4 linked regions of the Arabidopsis thaliana genome follow. The protein of the gene in region 1 purifies or fractionates together with the protein of each later gene. This does not show direct contact. Each region holds a gene or a part of one and is shown on either strand. Other genes may lie near its edges. The genes, in order: PCNA2, CRT1b, AT1G32880 and BTF3.

The links.
Region 2: the proteins of PCNA2 (region 1) and CRT1b fractionate together in Arabidopsis thaliana (co-fractionation; one large-scale study listed by BioGRID). This does not show direct contact.
Region 3: the proteins of PCNA2 (region 1) and AT1G32880 fractionate together in Arabidopsis thaliana (co-fractionation; one large-scale study listed by BioGRID). This does not show direct contact.
Region 4: the proteins of PCNA2 (region 1) and BTF3 fractionate together in Arabidopsis thaliana (co-fractionation; one large-scale study listed by BioGRID). This does not show direct contact.

What each region holds. Positions count from the first base shown.
Region 1 is NC_003071.7:12,648,753-12,653,801, reverse strand, and holds PCNA2 (proliferating cell nuclear antigen 2), read left to right. Parts: upstream 1-2,048; 5' UTR 2,049-2,203; coding exon 2,204-2,522; intron 2,523-3,010; coding exon 3,011-3,163; intron 3,164-3,246; coding exon 3,247-3,344; intron 3,345-3,438; coding exon 3,439-3,663; 3' UTR 3,664-3,896; downstream 3,897-5,049. Other genes in the region: MAC5B (CCCH-type zinc fingerfamily protein with RNA-binding domain-containing protein), read right to left, coding at 1-496, 678-901, 1,022-1,291, 1,687-1,791; ENOC (cytosolic enolase), read right to left, coding at 4,108-4,179, 4,535-4,732, 4,839-4,925. UniProt on the Arabidopsis thaliana protein: This protein is an auxiliary protein of DNA polymerase delta and is involved in the control of eukaryotic DNA replication by increasing the polymerase's processibility during elongation of the leading strand. May be involved in UV resistance.
Region 2 is NC_003070.9:2,971,907-2,979,361, reverse strand, and holds CRT1b (calreticulin 1b), read left to right. Parts: upstream 1-2,359; 5' UTR 2,360-2,706; coding exon 2,707-2,800; intron 2,801-3,405; coding exon 3,406-3,513; intron 3,514-3,607; coding exon 3,608-3,800; intron 3,801-3,897; coding exon 3,898-4,156; intron 4,157-4,329; coding exon 4,330-4,434; intron 4,435-4,520; coding exon 4,521-4,607; intron 4,608-4,689; coding exon 4,690-4,747; intron 4,748-5,254; coding exon 5,255-5,322; intron 5,323-5,407; coding exon 5,408-5,503; intron 5,504-5,596; coding exon 5,597-5,644; intron 5,645-5,805; coding exon 5,806-5,835; intron 5,836-5,919; coding exon 5,920-6,036; intron 6,037-6,133; coding exon 6,134-6,145; 3' UTR 6,146-6,724; downstream 6,725-7,455. Other genes in the region: AT1G09220 (Pentatricopeptide repeat (PPR) superfamily protein), read left to right, coding at 1-1,410; AT1G09200 (Histone superfamily protein), read left to right, coding at 7,230-7,455. UniProt on the Arabidopsis thaliana protein: Molecular calcium-binding chaperone promoting folding, oligomeric assembly and quality control in the ER via the calreticulin/calnexin cycle.
Region 3 is NC_003070.9:11,912,855-11,916,734, reverse strand, and holds AT1G32880 (ARM repeat superfamily protein), read left to right. Parts: upstream 1-1,999; coding exon 2,000-2,125; intron 2,126-2,283; coding exon 2,284-2,411; intron 2,412-2,509; coding exon 2,510-2,807; downstream 2,808-3,880. Other genes in the region: NAC13 (NAC domain protein 13), read right to left, coding at 3,043-3,452, 3,572-3,880.
Region 4 is NC_003070.9:6,151,476-6,156,505, reverse strand, and holds BTF3 (basic transcription factor 3), read left to right. Parts: upstream 1-2,523; 5' UTR 2,524-2,640; intron 2,641-3,080; coding exon 3,081-3,148; intron 3,149-3,237; coding exon 3,238-3,386; intron 3,387-3,475; coding exon 3,476-3,532; intron 3,533-3,625; coding exon 3,626-3,664; intron 3,665-3,749; coding exon 3,750-3,934; 3' UTR 3,935-4,122; downstream 4,123-5,030. Other genes in the region: GER2 (NAD(P)-binding Rossmann-fold superfamily protein), read left to right, coding at 910-931, 1,064-2,028; EGY3 (ethylene-dependent gravitropism-deficient and yellow-green-like 3), read left to right, coding at 4,321-4,866, 4,960-5,030.

The sequences.
Region 1 (5,049 bases):
TCTCTGAGGGTCCATTGATGGGTAAAATGGTCTGTCTTGATGAGGAGGTTGTGGTGGTGGTGGGTGCATATAGTATTGTAGCATTGGTGGAGGTTGATTCTGTTGCTGAGATATAACTGCTCGAGGTAGTAAACCACTATGAGCCACACTGCCCTGTTGGTTAGAACCATCTTGATCAGGTTTGGGAACCTGAGGTCTTCCCCATGTGAGTTTTAGCCTCTGACCGTTGACAACTAGCCTGTTACTGAGCTCTTCTGCAGCTTTCTCTGCTCCTTCTCGGGTTGTGTAAGTGACAAACGCACATGCTTTCTCAGCCAAGATTCTGATGGATTCGATTTCTCCATGGGCGTAGAATTGATCACGAATGTCTTGCTCAAGGACTCTCGAGTTTAGCCCACCAACATAAAGCGTTCTGATGCTTTGATCCTCTGGAGATTCCAAAGTACCCATCTCCCCAGCCTTGCCAAGTAACTTCAACGCAACTGGATCGTTTACACTGCAGGAAGTGAAGAATAAGATGAGAAAACAGTTCCAATATCACCAAAATAACAGCCAGTTTACGCACACAAACTGATGTATTTTTCATAACTCTCTTTCATGATATACCAAAGCAAGAAATTGAGGAGTAACTCAATATTATCATACTCAAACAAAATGAAAGTTAGAAGTATGCTTACCCATAATAACGGTCTTTAATGTTCTGCTGGGATAACTCTCCTGTTTCAGGCATCTCATGACGGTATGGACACTCATCACCTCTTGTACACTCTCCCCTAATGAAGAAACTACAAATATGAGCTCGGTTCCTTTTGTAGTAAGGCGTTGTCCTTTGAAGCATACGAATGGTATCGTTGGGCCGAATCTTCCCAAAAGAAGACTCATAATCTAGTCCAGCTCTCGTCTACACAAGAAAACAAAACCATTTCAATAGGCCATTACAAAGTAGAGAAACTGTATAGCCAAATCTCAAACCAATCAATACTCAAATAATATAACTAGTTAGAACGCAGAGTCACCATACCTTTCGATCATGCTCTTCAGCGAAAAACTCTCGGTTCACATCACTTTTTGGGATAGAATCATGAGTACTAATGTTGAGCGCCGTGTCTCTGACCTGAACTGGAAGACCATACTCAAGATCCAAGAGACAAACTTGGCACACATTCTTCAACTTGCAACATGTCTGACAAACTTCAGTCTTCTTGTATCTCGCATCCCTACCAGGTCGCCATCTGAAAACCGTGAAAGGCCGGGTACAGATCTTACACTCTTTATCGTAATTCGCCTTTGTCTACATACCAAACAACAACAATAAATCAATCAATCAATCAAACATGAAGCTGCACATCACTACCAGACATAACATGAGACAGTATTCAATGAATTACATTCCCTCTAAGCAAATTTGATCAGAACAAACCAAAGATATCATTTTGAACTACAACTCCATGAATTCTGATTTTTACCAAAGGTTATGAATTGTATATTAAATCGCTTAAACCCTAAAATCTCAAATCACTAAAATTGCAGCTTCAACACTAAGAAACATAAAAGCATTAAACAAGCTCGAAAATGGACAAATGAAAGGAGATCTTAATAAAGACACATGAATGTTAAAAAAAAATCTAGCTAAAGGCAAGGAAATCGAATTTGTTTGAGGAGAAACATAGGAAGCGAAGAATATACCATTCTCACGTAAGGATTGTCACCGAGACAAGACTCACAGATGATTGGGAAATCAGAACGTTCCCATCCATCAGCCTCGTGATCTCTCAGTATTCTATGCGCCATTTCCTAATTCTCTTCCTTCCTCAATGATTTCTGGATTTCTTCTTCAGTCTCGAACACGAAGATTACCTTGAAGAGCAGATTTGCTCTCGTTTCGATTTTTTCGGGAATCTTTAATATTACAGCTGCTGTTGGGCCGAATGTTTGTTTGGCCCAATTTAAACCCATGAAATAAGAAAGCTTAAAGTGATGGTGGTGTACTGAAATAAACAATACGGACTCACACAGATGATAATTCATCGTCACACACAGGCGGGAACAAAAATACCCTAAAATCGCTAAATGGCGCCACAAAATCTCAGCTTATAATATCACTTCCCGCTAACAATTGCAATCTCCTCCCAGAAATTTCAACAGCTCTAAAAACCCTAACCGTTTCGATTCACACTCTAACCTTTCGATAATTTCCCAGAAGATGTTGGAGCTTCGTTTAGTTCAAGGTTCTCTACTGAAGAAGGTTCTAGAAGCGGTCAAAGATCTGGTGAACGATGCGAACTTCGACTGTTCGACCACAGGGTTCTCGCTTCAAGCTATGGATTCGAGCCATGTCGCGTTGGTGTCTCTTTTGCTTAGATCTGAAGGTTTCGAGCACTATAGATGCGATAGGAACCTCTCTATGGGAATGAATCTTGGTAATATGTCTAAGATGCTGAAATGTGCTGGAAATGATGATATCATCACCATCAAAGCTGATGATGGTAGCGACACTGTTACTTTCATGTTTGAGAGTCCCAGTAAGTTCTTCAAATCGATTTTTGTTTGTTAGGGCTTTGGTTTTGTTGTCAATGTTGATGCTATTGGTGACCTGATTCTGTGTTTATAGGTTTGATTTGCCAGAAGCTAGAATATGATTGTAGAGAATGATTCAGTCCATTTCTTGAAAGCTTTAGTTTGTAAGAGATGAAAGAGAAGATAAAATCTATGTTAATAGAGGGTTTTTGGTTTGGAATAAGGTTTGATATGGCTTTGTTTTTGTGTAGTTAATGATGTTATTAGTGATCTGAACTGTTATTTATAGGTTTCATTTGACAGAAACTAGAACTTGCTTGATGAGAATGAGTCCTTCCATTTTTGTTTTCAGAATAGGTATAGTCTCTAGCTTAAAGACTATAGTTTGAAAGTGAATAGAGTTTCTTGATTTAGTGAAAGTTAACAGAGGAACTTTGTTTGATATTGACTATGTGGTGTTAATCTCATTATTTAAATGGTGTTGATGATGCAGCACAAGACAAGATTGCAGATTTTGAGATGAAGCTGATGGATATCGACAGTGAGCATTTAGGAATTCCTGATGCTGAGTACCACTCGATTGTGAGAATGCCTTCTGGTGAATTTTCCAGGATATGCAAAGATCTCAGTAGCATTGGTGACACAGGTAAATGAACTGTTTGTTTATTTGGTGTATCACTGCGAGGATTCTCTAATCATGATTCTGGTTTTGATGTTATGATTTTGCAGTTGTGATCTCGGTAACAAAAGAAGGGGTGAAGTTTTCAACAGCAGGTGATATCGGGACAGCAAACATTGTGCTCAGGCAGAATACTACCGTCGACAAAGTATGAACAATCACTAGTCATCTAGAGAGATTTGTTTAATAATCTGTCCAATACAATGTTGAAGTGACCTTATGTTTGTATGTGTGTTTTGCAGCCTGAAGATGCTATTGTGATAGAGATGAACGAGCCTGTTTCGCTTTCATTTGCATTGAGGTACATGAACTCCTTCACAAAGGCTACTCCATTGTCGGAAACTGTGACCATCAGTTTGTCCTCTGAGTTACCGGTCGTGGTGGAGTACAAGGTGGCTGAGATGGGTTACATTCGATACTATCTGGCGCCTAAGATTGAAGAAGAAGAAGACACCAAACCAGAATAATGATGAATGTTTGATAGTCTTCGTTCGAGTCCTTTGTTGAAATGTCTGTCTTGATTCAGTTGTTTTCTGGATTTACTATCTTAAGGCAATGCTAAACTAGATAATCGTATGATGTTTGTCTTTCTGAAATTTGGAAAAGCTTGTTTATAACACTTTTCATCTGTTTGTTAAACATTGAAGAAAAAGAAGACACGAAGCCCTAAAACACGTTTGTTTGTGGCTTCTGCAACCTCACGAACTAGTGTTGATTGATGTTTTTGGATGCTTTTACAATTTGTAAAAAACATGTTTAACACTCTTTACTTCTGTTTGTTCTTAAATTTGGCAAAAACAACAAAAAATTTGAACTTTCAAGACACAAGAATTTGTCTGCGTGAGAAATAGACTCGAGAACAATGAAGTAAGACGAGAAGTGTAACAATTAATATCACATGTGCATTTTGTTTAGAGAGATAGCTTCCAATCTTCTCCAGCATACACTGCTTGATCCCCAAGCTCTTCCTCTATCCGTAGCAACTGCAGGAACATTTCAACAGTGATTCAGCTTTTTAATAAAGTAGTTTCTACAATGAAATGAGAACACTATCTAGCAACTAAATGTACATGGCTGCTCCAAACTCAATCATTATGGATCTATAAGCTGAGGCTGCATTAGCCAAAAGTTGAAGAAACTGAAACTTAGCCTAGGTTGCTAAAGATTCACATACCACAACATAACTCAGCTACTTAAAAGCTAAAAAGAAGCTGATGATAATCTGATGAAAGAGCTATGATCCAAAATTCCAATGCAGGTTACTCCACGTAATGTAGATTGTTCTAGTGTAATTGCATAAGGGGTACTGAGGATATTAGTTTGGAAAAAGATCCAGACCTGGTTATACTTCATAGTACGTTCTCCTCTGCAAGGAGCACCAGCTTTAATCACACCTGTTGCGAGACCCACAGATAAGTCAGAGATGAAAGAGTCCTCTGTTTCTCCACATCTATGAGATGTCACCACACCCCACTGGGCATCCCTTGCCATTTTCACTACTTCAATGGCTTCTGTTACTGTACCAATCTGATTCACCTGTATCACCGTATGCACATTATGTCTTTGTCGTTCTTAGGCAGTAAACATACAATATGTGCACAGGTAATACATAGTAATAAACAAAATAGGACGGACGAAATACCTTGAGAAGAAGAGCATTACAAGAAGACTCCTGTATGGCACGCTCAACTCGTTTTGAATTTGACATCAACAAATCGTCACCTACCACCTACAAGAGTTTAACACTGAGAATTTAGACAAGGAAAATGATTGTACAAGAAGATTTAAGGGTCTCTCTCTTTAGATATTTGACTCTGAGAAAAGAATCAGAAGACAGTGTGATCTGAAAGAAC
Region 2 (7,455 bases), on another chromosome or scaffold:
ATTCAACACTTTCAATCTCTTATGCAAAAATATGAATCAAACCTTAAAATCATCCACCAGCTCCATTCACACTTCACCACTTCTGGGTTTCTTCTCCTTCATCAGAAGCAAAACTCTGGGAAACTTTTTCTATTCAATCCTCTGCTTCGATGCTATTCTCTTGGCGAAACCCCTCTTCATGCTTACTTCCTCTACGACCAACTCCAACGACTCCATTTCTTGTCTGATCACAATAAGAGTCTGCCTCCTTTTGATAGTTTCACTTACCTCTTTCTCCTGAAAGCGAGTTCGAATCCGCGGTTCCCATCTTTACTACTGGGAATTGGACTCCACGGGTTGACTCTAAAACTGGGTTTTGAATCTCATGTCTACGTGCAGACAGCTTTGGTTGGTATGTATCTTGTTGGTGGAAACATGATTGATGCTCACAAAGTGTTTGATGAAATGCCTGAGAGAAATCCGGTAACTTGGAATGTGATGATCACTGGCCTTACTAATTTGGGAGATTTCGAAAAAGCTCTTTGCTTTTTGGAGAAGATGCCGAATCGGACGGTAGTGTCTTGGACCACTATCATTGATGGGTATGCACGAGTAGATAAACCCAAGGAAGCTATACTCTTGTTTTCAAGAATGGTTGCTTGCGACGCAATAAAGCCCAACGAGATAACCATTCTCGCCATTCTCCCAGCTGTTTGGAACTTGGGAGACTTAAAGATGTGCGGATCAGTTCATGCTTATGTTGGGAAAAGAGGGTTTGTTCCATGTGATATCCGTGTGACTAACTCTCTCATCGACGCTTATGCAAAATGTGGGTGTATTCAAAGCGCGTTCAAGTTTTTCATAGAGATTCCAAACGGAAGGAAGAATCTTGTATCGTGGACAACGATGATCTCGGCGTTTGCAATTCACGGAATGGGAAAAGAAGCGGTCAGTATGTTTAAAGACATGGAAAGATTAGGATTGAAGCCGAACAGAGTGACCATGATCAGTGTTTTGAACGCTTGCAGCCATGGAGGTTTAGCAGAAGAAGAGTTTCTAGAGTTTTTCAACACGATGGTAAACGAGTACAAGATCACGCCGGATGTGAAGCACTATGGATGTCTAGTAGATATGTTGAGAAGAAAAGGAAGATTAGAAGAAGCAGAGAAGATTGCTTTGGAGATTCCAATAGAAGAAAAAGCTGTGGTTTGGAGAATGCTGCTTGGAGCTTGTAGCGTTTATGATGATGCTGAATTGGCTGAGAGGGTTACTAGAAAGCTAATGGAGCTAGAGAGAAGCCATGGAGGAGACTATGTGCTTATGTCCAACATCTTTTGTGGTACTGGAAGATTTTTAGATGCGCAGAGATTTCGGAAACAGATGGATGTTAGAGGAGTAGCTAAACTTCCAGGACATTCACAAGTAACATAGCGGAGCATGTATATATTTATGACTCCAATCTTTATTGTTTTGATGATAAACTTCAGAATTTTTGGGAGCTCTGTTCTGATCCTCAATGTTTTGATCATAAACTCCCAAAAGGTGTTTTCTATTCTGAATGGTTTTATTGGATTATAAAGAAACGCAAACCTAATCAAGAAGACCAAGTTCATAATTCATTGTCATAATAACTTCACAAGAAAAAAGGAAAACATGAGAGCATTGCTGGGTGCAAGTTTGATAGATAATAAAAGAAAAAGCGATGAGAATCTGCAACAAGGGTTTTTGATGATTCCTCTTCTGAAGACCCAAGCTTATGAAATCTTGTTCATAGACCACTGGGGGTTGCATGTGTTTCTGTGCTGCGCTTGGATTCTCCTGAAGATGGGTCAGCACCGAATCTGTGAGGATGATCTGTTTCTTGCATCCCCTTTTCCTAAACCCTAAATCCTAAACTCCCAATCTTCAATGAGTTTTGATCATAAACTCCTAAAGTTTGGTGAGCTCTCTAATGAAGTCTCAGTTAGCTGAGATTACAGTGACAAAGATGTGTAAAATACAATGGAGCTCAAATCATTCAAAGAGATTAAAAAAGACTAAATGGATCAATGAGTAACAAGAACATGCATAAAAATAGTTCATTTTTTGAAAAAACTTTGCTTCAATGGGTGTCATTATCAAATTTGAATCCAAGTCAGATTTTGAGTAGCTTTTACGCTAATCTTCTTCACACAAAAAAACCATCAACACAAAAAGATTTATAATTTAAAATTTTATCGGCCCAAAATACACACATCAATCTTCCTCTCGGCCCACGCTTTTAGAATTTTTGTAGATTTAAAAATTCAGTTGGAATCTAACGGCTGAGATCACGTTTAATCCAACAAACCAAGCTATATATTTACTAAAACACCCGAGAGATCTGCTTCTTTTGTTTACTCTACTCTCCACGAGAAGCACACTTGTTTTTTGTTTATATCACCGCACCAACCGCTAATATCTTTACACGTGTCAAATCTTTTGCTTAAGGCTAATTATGCACAGCCTTCTTTCTCCCGTTTTATCCAATACTATAACGACATGTCATTCTCAATGACAAATGTATCTGACGTGTCGGTTACCTATTGGATTACGTGGCTGCAGATTTACACGACGTAGCCTAAAATAAAATCCATGAGAGCAAAGCTCACTTGCTAGCTCCTCTCCTCGCGGTATATATAAGCTCCAGGTCTTGTACATCTTCATCATCTGATCTCGGGGAAGCTCCGATCTGAGTTTTTTTTAGCAATGGCGAAAATGATTCCTAGCCTCGTCTCTCTAATTCTTATCGGTCTTGTTGCGATCGCCTCCGCCGCAGTTATTTTCGAGGAGCGCTTTGATGGTATCTAATTTCTACATCTCTATCTCTATACTCTATCTTCCTGATGATGCGTCTGTTTGTGTTCTGGCTTGCGATCTATTTCTTCAATTTGAGTTTTAATGTGATTTATGCTACGAGTTTAAGATCCATGCTACGATATCCTCGTTTTCATCTGATAGTTTGTTCTCAAATGTTGGATCAGGATTATTATGGATCTATGAATTTGTTGATTTTGGTTTGTCTGGGGTTTTTGATTTCTAAATTATAATTGGAGATCCCAGGAAATGACCTCCAACTTTTGGTGATTAATACTTTTCGTGTAGATGTTTGGGAGATCAAGTTTTTAACGATGATGAAAATTCTGAGATGATAGTTAGCATATGATTCCTTTCTGGTTCGACACTAGTTTACTAATTTCAATGATGAATATGTTCAGTGAAGCCCGCTCTTGAGTTTGTTTAGTCGACTTTTCTGATTTGAAATACTAAAAAATATTATATGGTTTGTTCAATTCGTGTTTCTTGTGTTGGATTGTCTTGTTGTTCTTAACTTAGTATATAATCTTGTGATTCTTCTTGTCTGATGTCTGTCTTGATTTGTTATCTTTGTTATTTCCATTTCTAAAGATGGCTGGGAGAACAGATGGGTTAAATCTGAGTGGAAGAAGGATGATAACACTGCTGGGGAGTGGAAGCACACTGCGGGAAATTGGTCTGGTGACGCTAACGATAAAGGTATGATTCAGCCTTCAGAGCTAATCACAGAATCATTATTTATTGTTTTACAAGCTTGTGCTAATGCGTTGTTGCAATTGCCATTGTCTGGCAGGTATCCAGACCAGTGAAGACTACAGATTCTACGCCATTTCAGCTGAGTTCCCTGAATTCAGTAACAAGGACAAGACCTTAGTCTTCCAATTCTCAGTCAAGCACGAGCAAAAGCTTGACTGCGGTGGTGGCTACATGAAGCTACTAAGTGGTGATGTTGACCAAAAGAAATTTGGTGGAGACACACCATACAGGTACAAATCCTATCTCATCTCACTCTTATCATCTCAACCTATTATCAATTAACATCAATGTTTAAAAATAACAACCCATCTGCTTTTTTACCTGCAGTATCATGTTTGGTCCTGATATCTGTGGCTACAGCACAAAGAAAGTGCATGCTATCCTTACCTATAATGAAGCCAACCACCTGATCAAGAAAGATGTTCCATGTGAAACTGACCAGCTCACCCATGTGTACACATTTATCCTCCGCCCAGATGCTACTTACAGCATTCTCATCGACAATGTTGAGAAACAAACTGGTAGCCTTTACTCTGACTGGGATCTTCTCCCACCCAAGAAGATCAAGGACCCCAGCGCCAAGAAGGTATTCTATTTCTTATGAACAACCAGGCTAAACTGAGAACCAACCACTTATACTCAATTTTGGAGCAAACTAGAACTAACCACAAACCATACCAAAGCTCTCTGATGAACTTGGTTGATTATACCTGAGATACCATCCATCATACAAATTGATCCTTTTATTTATTTGTACAGCCTGAGGACTGGGACGAACAAGAATACATTTCTGACCCTGAAGACAAGAAACCTGACGGTTACGATGATATCCCTAAGGAGATCCCAGACACCGACTCAAAGAAGGTTCATACTTGTCTATAATTGATGTAAAATCTAAAATCTCTTGCTGTGTTCCGTATTTGCTGATTTTTCGTTGTCCTTTCTCTTAGCCTGAGGACTGGGATGATGAAGAAGATGGTGAGTGGACTGCCCCAACAATCCCCAACCCTGAGTACATGGGTGAATGGAAGCCTAAGGTTTGTCAATTTCTATTCCAAAAAGTATCTATATCCTGGTCAACGTTTTTCTTCCTCTCAAGGCTGTCAAATATTTTTGTAGCAAATCAAGAACCCCAACTACAAGGGCAAGTGGGAGGCTCCATTGATTGACAACCCTGGTACATTACTACTCTCTGTGGCCATATTATCCATGTTGCATGTAATTTGTGGTTCAACTTCTGTTCTTTGTTGTTTGATGGTCGTTTCTGGTATGCCTAAATCTTCTCCAGTTAGATTTCTCTTGACTAAGTAGAAGGACTATCTAAGTCTAAGGCCTAAGGGTTCATTTAAACTCAAATGCTGAAGTAATCCTTTACTTCCAAAAGGTTTATTGGCGTCTCTATGTTTAGTGGTTTAACCTATTAAATAGAAACATGTTTGTAACTAACCTGGTTTTTCTTTTATCTTCTCTATCATTAAATCCATGGTCACACCAGTTTGACACATTTAGTAATCTATATCTTTTGTTCACCTTTATTTACACTTTTATATCATGTTCATTTGGATGTAACTGTAGAACTCGCAACTTTTTGTTTTTTATGCTTGCATTAACTTACATGAAAATTTAGCTCTCTTAGACATAATAATAAACAATTAGTGTGCCTAAAATAAACTGATTACCGCAGACTTCAAGGATGACCCAGAGCTCTACGTCTTCCCCAAGCTGAAATATGTTGGACTCGAATTGTGGCAGGTAAATAAATCTTTGTCACTTTGAATGACCTTCGAAGATATGCTTTATTCCCATGACTCTCATCTAATACATGTTACTCTTCCAGGTGAAATCAGGATCATTGTTCGACAATGTCTTGATCTGCGATGACCCAGACTATGCCAAGAAGTTGGCAGATGAAACATGGGGAAAGCTCAAGGATGTAGGTGTTTAAAATACCCAATTTCATAACACAGTTTTTTTTTTTTTGTTTCTGGTTACTGATCAGAATATCCAATCTAATATCACATTGCAGGCGGAGAAAGCAGCTTTCGATGAGGCTGAGAAGAAGAATGAGGAAGAGGTAAATATCTCTCCTAATTATTTAGCTTAATTCATTTGAATCTCTCTAAAACAAGTAGTTTGGACTTTTGTGGAGTTTCTACTGCCAATTATGTAATTGTTGTAACCAAGTTGGGAATAGATAATCTAAGACGGCATTCTCCTTTTTCTGTGTTGATACAGGAATCCAAGGACGCACCTGCGGAATCTGATGTAAGCACTTGTGAAGGATCAAATTTTTTAGAGTCTTGTTTGTTTCTGTCAAGGTCCTAATATTATATGTGATATAAATTCCAGGCTGAAGACGAACCAGAGGATGATGAAGGAGGAGATGATTCCGATTCTGAATCTAAGGCCGAGGAGACCAAATCAGTAGATAGCGAGGAAACCTCTGAGAAAGACGCCACCGCTCATGTATGCTACCACAATATCACTTGGAGAAATTTCACTCATCCATAATTTTGTTGTTTTCCTTGAGTTGTGGTTAAAACTGCGTGATTTGGTTTTGCAGGATGAGCTATAGGTGAAAGGTTGAAGATTTGAAGACCAAAGTTTTCAGTCTCTTTATTGTTTTATCGTTTTCTTTTGAAGTATTTTAGCATCTAGTTTGTCGGAGATAGAAACAAGTTTTAGCAAAACTAAAAGGGGGATACAATGTCTGTCAGATGCTCATTTTAGACTTTAAAAAACCATGAAGAAGTTTTGCAGTTGCTTCTCTTTCTCTACTCTTGTTTCTCTGCTAAGCCAATGTCCGCCAAAATCGGATTCTGGTGTATTCGTTCACTGCTCCCCACCCTTTGAGAATTTGTTGTTAGTCTCTTGTCAGTCAATACAGACCACCAAGTCCATAATCCAACAGTCCAACGTCCCTGCAAGTTGATTGATACTAGAGTAGTAGTAATGTAGAATGTCTTTCACTTTCCAAACAATTTCCACATTGTCTATACACTTATACTGGGTTCACTTCCATTGTGAAGACAGATGTTGAGATAACAAAAATTATATAGAGATAATTGTACCCCAACCACAGATGCTTAGAACGCTAGAGAACGAATGCAGTGCAATCTTTGTTTTACCTTAACCTTAGACAGCAATATTTTAATTCATGATGTCATTCTCAAAAGATGAAGTCACAATCTTTATACAAAACAGCGTCCTAGCATATTGAGATGGTATTTAAGCCCAGAAAAAGCTGATTGAGAACCAAAAAAAGAAAAACAATTACGCAGGCCCTATTAAGTAATGGGCTTGGTTTTTTGGTAAAGATAATATATTTAGATTATTTCTTTTATTTCTATTGGTCTTCGTACCTTCACGCGGATCAGTGTTAGAAAAGAATGAAATCTGTCCGTAGAATTGTATTAATCTACGGTTGCTGTGATTTCACGCGGATCGTGATAGAAACCTCTTATATCCGTTGATTAAAAACCAATGAACGATCCAGATCTAATCCCGCTGAAAAAGAAAAGCGAAATATTTTCCCTCCCACTTCTTGTAATTTCCAGACGATAAATATCCCCTTCCTCAATCGAAACAAACTATCCAGATCTCAACTTTCTCTCATCTTCAAATTAAAATCAAACAGTTTCTTAATAACATTTTACTTCATGGCTCGTACCAAGCAGACGGCTAGGAAATCAACCGGAGGAAAGGCTCCAAGGAAGCAGCTGGCGACAAAAGCGGCGAGGAAATCTGCTCCGGCCACCGGAGGAGTGAAGAAGCCACACAGATTCAGACCCGGAACTGTTGCTTTAAGAGAAATCAGGAAGTACCAGAAGAGCACTGAGCTTCTTATCCGTAAACTCCCTTTCCAGAGGCTTGTCAGAGAGATCG
Region 3 (3,880 bases), on another chromosome or scaffold:
TAGACCTATTTCATGCTGCAACGTAATCTATAAGGTAATTTCTAAGATCATTGCTAACAGATTGAAAGTGCTTCTGCCAGAGTTTGTTGCGGGAAATCAGTCGGCGTTTGTAAAAGACAGATTACTCATCGAAAATCTGTTACTTGCTACGGAACTAGTCAAGGACTATTATAAAGATTAAGTCTCTACCCGTTGTGCTATTAAAATAGATATCTCGAAGGCGTTTGACTCGGTCCAATTGGCTTTTCTGCTGAATGTTTTATTGGCTATGAATTTTCCTGCGGTTTTTATACATTGGTTAAAACTGTGTATTACTACGGCCTCTTTTTCAGTCCAAGTAAATGGCGATCTCGCTGGTTATTTCCAAAGTGCAAGGGGTTTACGTCAGGGTTGCTCTCTCTCGCCATATCTGTTTGTCATAAGCATGGATGTCCTCTCAAAGATGTTGGATAAGGCTGCCGGAGCTCACAAGTTTGGTTTCCATCCTCATTGTCAACGTTTAAAGCTCACTCATCTAAGTTTTGCAGATGATTTGATGGTTCTAACGGATGGTAAGGTTAGATCCATATAGGGTATAGTGAAGGTTTTTGATGAGTTTTATAAGTACTCTGGGTTAAAAATAAGTATGGAGAAGTCGACAATGTATATGGCAGGAGTATCACCTTTAGTGAAAGCAGAGATTGCAGCTCTTTTCCCTTTTGATATAGGTCAATTGCCAGTTCGATACTTAGGTTTGCCTCTTGTTACTAAGAGACTCATGGCTGAGGATTATGATCCTCTTCTTGAGCAGATTAGGAAACGCATCGCGTCGTGGACTTCACGCTACCTCTCATATGCAGGTAGCTCAACTTGATTCAATCTATCCTCTGGAGTATTTGCAATTTCTGGCTAGGCGCTTTTCGTTTACCGAGACAGTGTATCCGAGAGATTGACAAGATTTGCTCCGCTTACCTATGGTCGGGTTTAGAACTGAGTTCAAAGAAGGCAAAGATATCGTGGGAAAAAGTTTGTAAGCCGAAAATAGAGGGGGGTTTGGGTTTGCGAAGCTTGACAAAAGCTAATGATGTTTGTTGTTTAAAGTTGGTCTGGCGAATCATTTCTAATAGCAAGTCTTTATGGGTTCAATGGGTCACCACATACCTTCTTAGGAGGAAGCATTTTTGGACATTGAAGCAGAATACAAATGCAGGCTCTTGGATTTGGAGAAAAATACTAAAGTACAGAGACAAGGCGAAATAATGTGTACAATGCATCATTCTCTACCAAAGAAACGTGGCACCATATCAGAGCTCCTTCTCCCACAGTCCCCTGGTACAACGGGGGTTGGTTCAATCACGCCACACCAAAGTTTTCGTTTTGTACTTGGCTCGCGGTCCAAGATAGGCTCTCAACAGGGGAGCATATGGTTAAATGGAACAGAGGAGAATCGGGTCTCTGTGTGTTTTGTACTAACACTATGGAAACTCGTGATCATTTGTTTTTCTCCTGCAACTATGTCTCGACAATTTGGGGTGACGTAGCTAAGAAGCTATGGAAGACCAGATTCACAAAGGAATGGCCACAAATTCTGGCCTATGTTTCAGACAAGTCATTACAGCGAGTCGATGGTTTCTTAATCCGGTATGTCTTTCAAGCTACAATACACACAGTTTGGAGAGAGAGGAATGGGCGTCGTCATGGAGAAACACCGAACACCACGTCACACTTGATAACTTGGATAGATAAGCAGGTGATCGAAGATATGACAAGGGCAACGTACAGCTCACTCTAAACATTCTCTAAACACCTTTAATTTCTAACTATTTTTTTTCTCAGCTTTTCTCATTTTGCTAAACGTTGCACGAGTTGTAAAAACGTTTTGTTTTTTTTTGAATATAATTTAACATTTTTTCAAAAAAAAAAGAAGAGTAAATCAAATCTCTCTTTTACTCTTTTTCTTGATCGATTTGAAAGATTCTTCATTCACTCGAATGTTTCTTATATTACATGTGCAGAAGATATGCGTAATGTTTCTTATATTACATGTGCAGAAGATATGCGTGGTCCTATCGAAACAGTGATACGATCTGGAGCTGTACATCGTCTCATTCAGTTTCTTCTCGATGAAAGTTTCCCTAAGCTTCAAGTTAGAAGAAAAATTTCCCCCATCAAGTTGATGTTTTTATTGATGATCAGTGTAATCTTTGATTCTGATATATATACAATGATTCAGGTGCACAACATAAAACAATTTGTCTATTTGCTATCTCACTAAACTAAACTGTTTTCCCCTGGTGATAACAGTCAGTAATCGATGCAAATTTGATTCCAACCTTGGTCAAACTGACTCAGAATGCTGAATTTGACATGAAGAAAGAATCTGTATGCGCAATTTCAAATGCGACCTTACTTGGTTCTCATGATCAAATCAAGTACGTCCCTGTCTTATTTCTTTCTTTTTGCACTTTCAACTTAACATGCTTATAGATGATCATCAAAGTCACAATCTCCATTTATTGGTGTGATTCAGATACATGGTGGAGCAGAGCTGCATCAAACCTTTATGTGATATCCTGTTTTGTCCAGATGTAAAAACCATCTTAAAGTGTCTGGATGGAATGGAAAACACATTGAAGGTTGGAGAGGCTGAAAAGAACGCAGGAGACGACGTGAGCTGGTATACTCGACTGATCGAAGCGGAAGGGCTAGATAAGATTTTGAACCTGCAAAGACACGAAAACATCGAGATCTACGACAAGGCTTTGAAGATTCTGCAGACTTACTGGCTTGAAGAGGATGATGAGGATATACAACAACCTCCAAGTTAATAATCTAGTTAAGTAACATCATTTGTTCAAATATCCTAAAAGATAAGAAAATTCTTTTGCTTATTTCTATTGGTACTTTTTTAACAATACCAGAGAAAACTTCCAAGCATAAACTGTGATACTAAACAGCTTCTGAATCTAATAATCCAAGAGAATAATTACAATGACTTGACTCTCTAATGGTTCACACAAAACCAAGCCTTTATGTCTCTTAACCTCTTGGATTTTTCGGTTCTCACCATAACAAAGGCCTCCCTGAACCTCCCATTGTTCCTATGATCACCCAAAACAAAGCACATAAAGCCCCAATGATCGATAAGCAAAAGAAACCTTTGTTCTTCTTCTTCTTCTTATCGTTGTTTCCTCCAGACTTGTTCCTCTTCACTGCTGAGTCACTATCCATAACAACAACATTATTACCTGTGCTTTTAGAAGTAAACCTGAAACGACCACCACTGGTTGACATTCTAACAAGGTTCAGCTTCACAAATGGATTCTCTGATGCATATGCTGGCTTTGCAGGAATGGATTCCAGGAAAGTCCATACACTAGAAGCAAACTTACTAGACTCGTCTTTTGACGGGTCATCTTCATTAGTTGTACTTATACCAGAAGGAACAGGGTTTAGGAATTCAGATGAATCACCTGTCAAGGGAATATGATTAGGATAAGAAGCCAGTCGCTTTCCTCACAATTAGATAGAATATTTAGTATGCGAGTGAAAAGAGGTATCTACAGGAAAATCTGTTAGTGCTTTCAAGTACCTGTACCAGGCGCCTCACCAAACCGGGTAACGGTAAGTCCGTCATTGTTTAGCTCCTGCACCCACGATGATCCATTGTTTATCTGTCTGGTATAGCTGTTACGGAGTGGCCAGTTACTAGCTTGGTTCTTCCCTGATTGCTGCTGGAACTGGTTATTATTGGCCTGGTAAGTCATTAAAGAAGTATTCACCTGAAGACTTTGTGCAAACCCATTTTTCAAATCACCACTAACAAAATCTAACTGAGGATTTGTCACTCCCAAATCAAGGAAATATGAATCAGCACCAACGAAATCATCATCATTCAGGA
Region 4 (5,030 bases), on another chromosome or scaffold:
TTTTGATTTGAAAACAATTGAAAAGACAAACGGTGAAAACCATATCTCACTTTGACAAACCATGAGAGTAATTTTTTTTTCATACACTTATGTGAAAATTTCTTTTAAAAATATTCATCATATTTGAGTAGCGATTAAGTACTATTTTAAGTTGTAACCTAGTGGTTCTCCTCTTTCCTTTGCCCAATTCCTTTCTCCAAACGTCTCTATGAGCGACATTTTCTATACATAAATTGATTTTTTCATTTCTAATTGTGTGTAACGAAGAGGTCTAAGACCATTATAATATTTCCTTATCCCTTGGACTTCAGCATCCACGGTCGTCGGTCACTGCATAATTTGTAACTACCACTTACTTGCTTGTGTTTGAAAATCACATCTCATCCAATCATCGATGATGAAAAAGAATGTGTCGTCTTCTATCGCAAAAATGCTCCACTAGGCTAATGTTTGTTTATTTGAGTCTTCTAAAGGTTTGTCACAGTCTTCACCAAACCACTAGGCTTATATTTTATTCGAATCCGTACTCTTCTTATGGATGGTACGGAGTACGGACACCTGGCTGATGGAGCTAATTTGGTAACTCACAGCTGCGAACCGGAATTTGGTCCGGTTTAATTGCAATAGGCCAATAACGTAACGATGGAAAAGTAAGCGAAATGGGCGGAGAGTGAGGTGACTATTTTATTTAGGCCCATGGGCCAGGATCCATAAACTGAATAACAAAATATCCGACACCGATTCAGATCGCCGGCGGATATTCAGATCTCCTCCACATTACATTCTCCAAGGAATTTAACCTTTACCTACAAATCTAAGCTTCTGTCGTTGACTTCGAAAACTGATATCTATAAGTCAAAATCCCCATTCTCAATCGCTCATCGTCTTGTAGAACTAATTGACTAAACAATGGCGGACAACACAGGATCCGGTACGTCCATCTCTCTATTTTATGTCTGAATATAATGTTTCATGTCTATATACGGAGTTTTGTGGAATTGAATTTAGATTTTCGTGGAAATTTTGGAACCCTAGGTCTTTGATCCCTCGTAATTCTGTGCAGAGATGAAATCAGGTTCGTTTATGTTAGAGAAATCCGCCAAGATCTTTGTCGCTGGACATAGGGGATTGGTTGGATCTGCCATTGTCCGCAAGCTCCAGGATCAGGGTTTCACCAATTTGGTCCTTCGAACCCATTCAGAGCTTGATCTCACTAGCCAATCAGATGTTGAATCTTTCTTTGCTACAGAGAAACCAGTTTATGTCATCCTAGCTGCTGCTAAAGTCGGTGGGATTCATGCTAACAACACATACCCAGCTGATTTCATTGGGGTCAATCTCCAAATCCAGACCAATGTGATCCACTCTGCTTATACACACGGTGTGAAGAAACTCCTCTTCCTTGGTTCATCTTGCATTTACCCCAAATTTGCTCCTCAGCCGATTCCCGAATCTGCGCTTCTTACCGGTCCGCTCGAACCGACAAACGAATGGTATGCGATCGCCAAGATCGCGGGTATTAAGATGTGTCAAGCTTACCGGCTTCAGCATCAGTGGGATGCTATCTCCGGTATGCCCACGAATCTGTATGGTCAGAATGATAATTTCCACCCGGAGAATTCCCATGTGCTGCCTGCTCTCATGAGGAGGTTTCATGAAGCCAAAGCCAATAATGCTGACGAAGTTGTGGTTTGGGGAAGTGGAAGCCCGTTGAGGGAGTTTTTACATGTCGATGATTTGGCTGATGCTTGTGTTTTCTTGATGGATCAGTACAGCGGATTTGAGCATGTGAATGTAGGAAGTGGTGTTGAAGTGACGATCAAAGAATTGGCTGAGTTGGTGAAAGAAGTTGTTGGGTTTAAAGGAAAGCTTGTTTGGGATACCACAAAACCAGACGGGACACCAAGGAAACTGATGGATAGCTCGAAGCTTGCGTCTTTGGGATGGACACCGAAGATTTCGCTTAAAGATGGCCTCTCCCAAACTTATGAATGGTATTTGGAAAATGTTGTGCAGAAGAAGCAGTAAAAAAAACAAGGTCCAAAACACAAAGCAATATTCATTCTCTTTACACGTGAATGTTTATGCGTTTGATTTTTGGTTCTATACAGATCTCTCTATCTCTTTTATGTAATTTTTGTATTCATGGATTTCATACAGTTCAAGTTAAGCAAACTTACTTTGTAATAAATGTACCATTGTTGTTGAGATTATCAATAATCGAATAGCTTTCTTCTCTAAATTTTAGTCAACTAAACAAGTCTGTTCATTGATAAACTCATTTAGATAAATTTGTGGATTTTGAAATTCTGGTAACCAAAAGATTATGGTTTGCTACGCGCTAATACTGGTGATTGATTACGGCACAAAAGAGCCCAGTAAATAATTATTGGCCCAGTTTAGTTTTGGGCCTTATGGGCCAATATTATCATCGAGCATCCAACGGTAGTGATGGAGATTTCTTTATGGAATATCTGATATCCACCGTTAGATTAAGAGACGAGGTTGGCTCCGAATAGCATATAGTTAAAGGGCAAAACCCTGCGCCGCCCGCGTCTCTCCTCTCTCTGTTTCTTTTCTTTTTGTTTCATTTTCTTATCTCCTCACACTCTTCGAACAAGGAAGAACCCTAATCTCAAGGTAAATTCATTATCACTGTAATTTTCCTTTCTATTAGTGTTTTATCTCTCCGGTTCTAGGGTTTCTCTAATCCCCGATTTTGCAAAATGTCAGATATCTTTCTTTCTTGATTCATTTCGCTTCTTTCTGTAGATAGGATTAGTTTTTGTCGGTGTTTGGGAATTTACTGGGTTTTCAACTTCTCTGTGTGTTTGATTGGGGGATTTGGTATACCTAATCGATTGAAAATGATTAAATTTAGGTTAAAACTACTAGTCACATCACCGTGTCTTCATACGCATCTGAGTTTAAATCTGTTCGCGCTTACTTTCTTCTCACTAGTTTCTTGTATAATAAGAAGTTTTTGTGAATGTATTATTAGCAGTTAATGTGTTCATTGATTCTTTTGGAAGTGATTTGGGGATTGATGGATTTTGCTTCTTATTATGGTTTATACACAGATGAATAGGGAGAAGTTGATGAAGATGGCTAATACCGTCCGCACTGGCGGAAAGGGTACTGTCAGAAGGTATAGAGTTTTATTCAACCAATTTCATTGTTCAATACTTAGCATTTACTATGATTTGTGTTATGAAACCATTCGATTTTTACTTGCAGAAAGAAGAAGGCTGTGCACAAGACCAATACAACTGATGACAAGAGGCTTCAAAGCACTCTTAAGAGAATTGGAGTTAACTCCATTCCCGCTATTGAAGAAGTTAACATCTTTAAGGATGATGTTGTTATTCAGTTCATCAACCCTAAGGGTAAGTCATTTTTAACCATTTTTTATCTATACATCAGAACCTTTTTTTCATGTTACTGATCATTGTTCCTCCTTTGAATGTTACTACAGTTCAAGCTTCAATTGCTGCAAACACATGGGTTGTTAGCGGTTCTCCTCAGACCAAAAGTATTGCATCTCATAATATCTCTTAATCTCTACTTTCTTGTTTCTTCTTCATTTCATCTTCTCTGATTAATGTAAACGTGTTGCTTCCTGCAGAATTGCAAGATATCCTTCCTCAGATCATCAGCCAACTTGGTGTGTACCATGTAACTGTACAGCTCTTAAATGTTCTTCATCGATCCTAAGGTCTCTAACTTTATGTTACTTTGATCTCTTTCAGGACCAGACAACATGGACAACCTGAAGAAGCTAGCAGAACAGTTCCAGAAACAGGCTTCTGGTGAAGGTAATGCCGCCTCAGCAACCATACAAGAAGAGGATGATGACGATGTCCCAGAGCTTGTTGGAGAGACATTCGAAACTGCTGCTGAAGAGAAAGCACCAGCTGCTGCTGCTTCTTCTTAGAGAGAAAAGAGCGAGACCACATCCAAAAAAAAACCGCACTTTGATTTTTACATATCTTTATAATATGTTTGTTCGCTCGATCCTTTTTGTAGTTTCCGACCAGAATCTTGTTTTCCATCTAATGACTTAAGGTTTTTATCCAATTATTTGATGTCTTATTGATTCTTTGACAGCAAATCAGGTCCTCGTCTTCTTCTTCCTCTTCACTATGTGGATTAGAAGATTTTGATGTGACACATTGTCTTGTTGCATAAAAACCATTCCACCTGTACTGTATGAGTTTCTTCTCAAACTTTCCAGACATTTCATCACTTTCTCTACAAATTCTCTCTCAGAGACATGTCTATTCGTCGTCAAATCTCAATCTTTCTGAGTTTTCGTAAACCATGGCTTCTCTCTTTGTTTCTACTCCATCATCTTCCTTAACTCTTAAATCCTGTCACAGTTTGCATCTTCGTCGCTTTGACAGAGCAGAATTTTCGAACTTTGGGAAAGCTTCTGTGAATCAGACAACGAGAAGCAGACATTCTTTGAGATGTTCAGCGGAAGATGATCGCGTTCGTGAACCTGTGAACGAAGCTCCTTCTCCGGTGGCGTTAGCGGAGGAGCAAAAAGAAGACCACGATAACAATAATGCGCCGCCTTCTCCAGAGAGCAGTGAAGAAGAGGAGGAAAAGAAGTCGAAGCAGCAAGAGATGGATTGGAAAACAGACGAGGAGTTCAAGAAGTTTATGGGGAATCCATCTATCGAAGCTGCGATAAAGCTTGAGAAGACGAGAACTGATCGTAAGCTCAAGGAGCTGAACAAGGAAAGCAACAGTGAGAATCCGATCATTGGAATTTACAACAGCTTGGCTCGTGATAGTTTGACTAAAGAGAAAGAAAGGCTTGAGAAAGCAGAAGAGACTTTCAAGGCTCTTGATCTCAACAAGGTAAAAAAATGAATTCATTTCTCTTATGCTATGATTCTTCTTTGTTTTGTTGGAATGCATTGTTTTTGAAAGTGGTTTGTGATGATGGGACAGTTGAAGAGCTGTTTTGGGTTCGATACATTTTTCGCTACGGATGTTCGCCGGTTTGGAGATGGAGGAATCTT